Linked DNA regions of Saccharomyces cerevisiae S288C. Changing the gene in region 1 together with any one later gene gives a genetic interaction. Each region holds a gene or a part of one and is shown on either strand. Other genes may lie near its edges.

What was found.
Region 2: mutations in THI2 (region 1) and CMC4 together harm fitness more than expected from each alone (negative genetic interaction), as found in Saccharomyces cerevisiae (one large-scale study listed by BioGRID).

Annotation. Positions count from the first base shown.
Region 1 is NC_001134.8:699,719-703,514, reverse strand, and holds THI2 (Thi2p), read left to right. Parts: upstream 1-1,672; coding exon 1,673-3,025; downstream 3,026-3,796. Other genes in the region: VVS1 (Vvs1p), read left to right, coding at 1-926; ERT1 (Ert1p), read left to right, coding at 3,572-3,796. UniProt on the Saccharomyces cerevisiae protein: Positive regulator of thiamine biosynthesis.
Region 2 is NC_001145.3:652,062-654,815, reverse strand, and holds CMC4 (Cmc4p), read left to right. Parts: upstream 1-1,928; coding exon 1,929-1,968; intron 1,969-2,040; coding exon 2,041-2,222; downstream 2,223-2,754. Other genes in the region: ICY1 (Icy1p), read right to left, coding at 399-782.

The DNA.
Region 1 (3,796 bases):
TTTCTATCAATCTAGGTATCCTGCTGACCCAAACCTTGGCACTCAAGTACGCAGACTCCTATAACTGGAGGTGGCTTCTCTTTTCCGGATCCGTGATTGCGGTAGCGAATATTTTAGCTTGGCTCAAAGTGGACGAATCTCCAAGGTGGCTGGTGAGCCACGGATTCGTCTCGGAAGCTGAAACTGCTCTGTTCAAGTTGCGTCCAGGAACGTACCAACAAGCGAAGCAAGAAATTCAGGATTGGCAGCGTAGCCATGGGCACAACCGCGACCCGGAGTCAAGCGAAGAGACTCATTCAGGACCCACACTATGGCAATATGTTACCGATCCCTCATACAAGAAACCGCGCACAGTTATACTCGCCATCTTGTCGTGCCAGCAATTTTGCGGCATCAACTCTATTATCTTCTACGGTGTAAAAGTGATCGGCAAGATTCTACCGGACTACTCGATTCAGGTAAATTTTGCCATTTCCATCCTCAATGTCGTTGTCACTCTAGCAGCATCTGCGATCATCGACCACGTCGGGCGCCGTCCATTATTGCTTGCCTCGACTACGGTGATGACCGCCATGTCGCTGCTGATCAGTGTAGGTCTCACCTTGAGCGTATCCTTTTTACTGGTCACGGCCACTTTTGTCTATATTGCCGCATTCGCCATCGGTCTGGGACCCATCCCCTTCTTGATCATTGGTGAGCTATCCTACCCGCAGGATGCCGCTACAGCTCAAAGTTTTGGTACTGTGTGCAACTGGCTTGCCACCTTCATCGTCGGATACCTCTTCCCGATAGGCCACGGCCTCATGGGCGGCTACGTATTTGCGATCTTCGCCGCCATCGCTGCCATGTTTGCTACATATGTGTACAAGCGTGTACCCGAGACAAAGGGCAAGACTACATACAGCGAGGTTTGGGCTGGCTACTGATCTGTAGCCAGTCATATATACCTAAGCAACTATTTTTTACTTCTTTCTAGCTATTCATCTGTTTTTTATTTTCTTCTTCTTCTAGTAACGAACGGCTACATGAGTATATGCACTCATTTAGTTAGTATCTATGTATATGTACGGAACTAGGCAAACCAAATGGATTGCTGTTGTATGAGATCCGTGTGGCGGAAACCATGACTACCGCTTGTACTGCCGGGGCCAAAATAGCACACGCGCGTCATGAGTCGCTCACGGGCGAGCGTCTATCTGCATATTTTCCTGAGCCCAATATTCGGTTCTGCGTCTTAGCGGCATAAATGCATCCGGCAGGACTGCCGAGAAAAGGAATATACAATGGCAGCCCTCTTGGCGCATTTGATGTATGCGGATTTCCAACCAATCTGCGAATGCATCCGTGCCAAAATGAAACGGCATTTAGCTTGAAAGAGTCGGAATTCCTGCATCAGATGGGTACCATTTTACCACAGTCTTTTGACTCACGCAGAGTACTCGCGTGCAATTGCTTGCAGGTATAATATATACATATATATATATATATATATATATATATATATATATGTACAATTTGTATGACAAGTGGGTGCACCTTTCTCGGTCGGAATTATATGGGGAACTAATACTACGGGTTAGAGCTATAACAATTTCTGCACACTTTAAAAGCGTTTTCATTTCATTTCACCACGTATATATATAGCCTATATATATATCCGCACTAGAACCAAATGGTCAATAGTAAGAGGCAGCAGAGAAGCAAGAAAGTAGCGTCATCCTCCAAAGTGCCCCCCACCAAGGGGAGGACATTTACTGGGTGCTGGGCATGCAGATTCAAGAAACGCAGATGCGACGAGAATAGACCAATCTGTTCACTGTGTGCCAAACATGGAGATAATTGTAGTTACGATATCAGACTTATGTGGTTAGAGGAGAACATCTACAAAGTACGCAAGCATTCACTGATCAGTTCATTACAGGCTCGCAAATCGAAATCGAAACCATTGTGCCAGAAAATCTCAAAATCAAGGTTTAAACAAATGACCCATTTTAGACAACTATCACCCCCGACAAGTGACTGCGAAGACAGCGTGCACGAGGCAAGTAAGGAAACTACGCTTCCTAACGATAATACATTCACCATAAGCGTACGGAGATTGAAGATATACAATAACGCTGTGGCCTCTGTCTTTGGTAGCATGACAAATAGAGATTATACTCAAAAGCGCATAGACAAGAAGTTGGACGAATTGCTTAATATGGTGGAAAACGACATATCTGTGGTCAACCTCAATTGCTCCAAACACGGGCCTTACTCAGTTTTCAGGGCCAATCCGGCTGCAGTTACCTCTGCTCTTACAGATCAGCTGCCGTCGCCGGGTCATTCGATGTCGTCAGCAGAGGAAACCACTACTGCAGCGCTGTCATCGCCGCCAGAAGACAGCACCTCTTTGATCGATATTATCCAAGGCAAAATTTTCGGGATCCTATGGTTTAATTGCTACGGGAACATGATATTGAACCGACAAGAATACACGACGTGGTTCATCAATAAGATGAGGAACTCGTTGACCACGGAATTCATACGCTTCCTTGGGAAAATAATTGACGACCCGGACATCAATATGGCCTCGTGCCTGTTCAAAGAGTGCATCGCTCGTTGGAGTTGTGTCGATTGGCAATCCATAGCTATAACAATGCTGGTCATCATTCATGGATATACCTGCCCCAACTTGACAAAGCTTCTAAGAGTGTGGTTTCTCCAGCAAAAGCTATTGAGATTTTCGATGTATCCGCTGGTCAACTTTATCATAAACAATACACAAGATTTAGACGTCCTGTACCATTGTAATGGATTGCTAGGGAATGCCGACTTATTCGAGGATCCCTACCAGGACGAGCTTACGTCGGAGTTACATGTCTTGGTCACGGAGCGCCTAGTGAATAGTTGGAAAGATACAATATTGCAACAACTTTGCTCATGTCAAGATACCACACTTTCATGTTCCCAACTGCGGTACTGGCAGCTACAACTGAAGTGTAATCAACAATTTTACAAGGATGTATATGCCATGCAGGACTAGGCTTATTGAGCCTTCCCTTCACTCATTTCAAGAAAAAAAAAGCCAAAAGCTTTGCTTGGATATTATACCCATTTTTAACGACATATTTTTTCCCACTACTTTAGATAGAAATTCATGATATTTTGTTTTATATTATATATGTATATATATATATGCACGAAAAAAAATTAAAGTTTATCACTGGGAGATAGGGTTTCCTATCTGCCAGGGTGAAACGTTTATTTTACTGATTTCTTTGTCTTTACTGACATTTATCGGATATCTATCTATCATTCTGAGCCTATGCTTTTTGTTAGCCGTAGACTAAAAAAAAAAAAAAATTGAAGGAAAAGAAATGAAAAAAGCAAATGAGTTGCAATTTTAGTATATTGTAAAAGAGTAACCACATAAAAAAACTAAACAAGAGCCGGTGCAACGGCATTACTCTCTTAGATAAAATTGCTAGTTATATAAAGTCAGGATACTCTTGAGCTATTTTTATCATTTCTTTTGGGTACAACAGACACACGAAGGTATAAAAATAAAATACATTGATGAATCATCGTGATGTGCACTCCAGATGAAAACGATTACAAAACATCAACTGACCCAGATACATCTGCAAATACAAATCATACTCTCGAAAAAAAGAAGAGAAAAAAGAGAAAAAACACAAACGTGGCATGCGTGAACTGTTCGAGATTGCATGTGTCATGTGAGGCCAAAAGGCCATGCTTACGATGTATCAGCAAGGGCCTCACGGCTACATGCGTTGACGCTCCAAGAAAGAAA
Region 2 (2,754 bases), on another chromosome or scaffold:
GTTCAATTGGATCTGAATCGCTAAAGATTTAAACTAAAGAAAGAAGAAGACAGGATAACAATCAATGGATACAACAAATAGGGGCATTCGGAGACACAGAGTATCCATTTTATTTTCTTTTTTCTTCCGGTAGCTGGTCTTACACTTATTCTTGTCAGCAGACGGTGCGCCGCCACTCCCATTGTAACTCTTGTGATGAGCTCTCCTTTCAATGGAAAAGGAACATCACGTGAAGCGAACGCGTATGAAGAGGAAATCAGTTAGTTGATGTTTGTATGGGAATATTGTCTGTTGGAAGTTTATAGAAACAATAATGCGTGTGTATTTATGTATGTTGAGTGCATATATATGTAGGTAGATTGTTTTTTTCTTTTGATTATCATTCCTTAATCGTTATTCTAAAATGAAGACAGCCACAATCTGTAGTTTTGTTGGGCGGCATTGGCATAAAGATCGGTCAATTTATCACACGACTGGGTAGTTTTGGCCGCGACGGCCATGCGACAATCCTGGACGTTATTCATGGCTTGGTGTTTGTAGTTGTTTTCTTGAGGGTTATCTAACGAGAACACAGTCTCGTCCGAGGCAGAACTTGTGTTCAAATCGAACTTCCCGGTGTCTCTCGGTACCACGAAAGGACCATTCAAATTATTATATTTGGCATCTTCCGAAGTATTGAGTGAATAATGCTCACCAAGTGACACATGCTCGGTAAATTGATAATTGGCAAAAGATAAGGGAAACACCTCATCGTCTAAAGGAGTGGCATAGTTTGAAGACATTTCTTGGTTTTATTGTATGTGTTATATGAGAAATTCAATTCTCCTTGTCATTAGTTTGTCTATCTATATATATTAACAAACAGGCTAGTGCTGAATGACTACGGAAAACAAATATTACATGCAAAAATTTTTGACAATAATGAGTAAGAGGCACATGCACTAGAGCATAAAAATTATGAACGTGTCTAGCTACATATATATCAATTAAATTAGTCTATCCGCGTAGCCAAGAAAACGATAACAAAGGGTACTTTACCCACTTGAAGGTGTCATTAACGCTGGTATGATAACCCGCTATCAAGCTGCATAATCTTTCTCCTACTATGCGCGTCTTTTGTTTTCATTTCACGGAATGACTCTTCCGCGGAGATTGGGCCGCGCCAGAAAATTTTTTTTCATCCGCTTCAGTCATTTCTGTCTGTTTTCTGTGCGCACTCTACGCTGATCGCTTGCGGCGGTAAAATTCCCCTGATATCCACCAAGGTGCTGAAAATCGAGCTACGGGGCGCTCTTGGTACGGGAATGGCAACAGAAAGAGCAGCTAGCTCGAACAGCCAGCTCTTTTTGAGGGGGGTAACACGTATGCTGGCAAAGGGCACAGGGTCTTATTACCCCTCCTTTGGTACGGTGGTCACCACAGTAGCAGAAGCGCTCGGATCATCGCTTCCACGTCATGCCCACGTTTCGTTTCCATGCGGAAAAATGCCCTCCTTAACATGACCACTTTGGGGGTTTTTGTATATTGTTTCTTAATTGCTGATTTGTGCAGTATCCTATCGTTCGTTCTTCACCCCTCCCCTTAAACCTTGCTAGCGTTTTGATATTTTTTGTTTCCTGTCACGTTCAATACTACAAATTACACATCTCAATCGGAATCGCGGGCGCAGAGTTTTTCCGATGTTGCCCGTCGCTAATATTTGGCGACTTTTGCACGTGAACGACGTCCCCACAATAAATTTCGCAAGGAGCGGGCGTGCGTTGTTAACGTCATCCGTTAGCGAGACTTTTACGGATATTACTTTTCACCCATGGGGTGTATATGAGAGTTCAGAAGAGGGTGTGGAGAGACAGAATATTACTGTTCTTTTTTTCCAAGATATTGAGCGTTTTTTTAGTTGTTGAGATTTGTTCAAATAAGAGGTAAATATGTCTAATCCATGCCAGAAGGAGGCCTGCGCCATCCAAGGTTTGTAATATTAACTTCAAAAGATTCGATCGTTTTTTTCTTTTCACTAACGTTTTTTCACATTAATTTTAGATTGCCTTCTATCACATCAGTACGATGATGCTAAATGCGCTAAAGTTATAGATCAGCTGTACATCTGCTGCTCAAAATTTTACAATGACAATGGAAAAGATTCACGGTCACCCTGCTGTCCGCTACCTTCGCTTCTTGAGTTGAAGATGAAACAGCGAAAGCTTACACCAGGGGACAGTTGAGGCTTCCAATTGGCCCTTCTTTCTACGTATGTATGAACTAGCAATTGAAAAAAAAAAAAAGGTATGTGCGTGAAGAGAATCTAATCATAAGTACATTATTCGTACTTCCAGGGAAGATCCACTCACTTTCTTTATGAAAAAGAAATATATTTATCTAAGATCAACCGCGAGCACGACAGTGAAATAGTATTAGTACTCCACCGTATAGTAAACGATTAAGTAAACTATATACGTCCACCGCCTAAAAAAACTGTCGAAACAGAATCTCTAAAACCAAGACGAATCGTGACTCTGGGTGTCTATTATAAAAGACATTATTACCCTTTTTCAAAAAACCAAAAAAAGGAAAAGAAAAGATTTTTTAAATACCAATAAAGATTCTTGCACCACAGGAACTTCTTCTAAACTCACCGCTTTATATACCAGAAAAAGATATAACGGTACGAAGAAAAAATAATATTCATACTTTTCGGGTAACACTTATATTGCTTCAGAAAAAAAATGTAGGGTTGGTAACGACTATCAGCTCAGT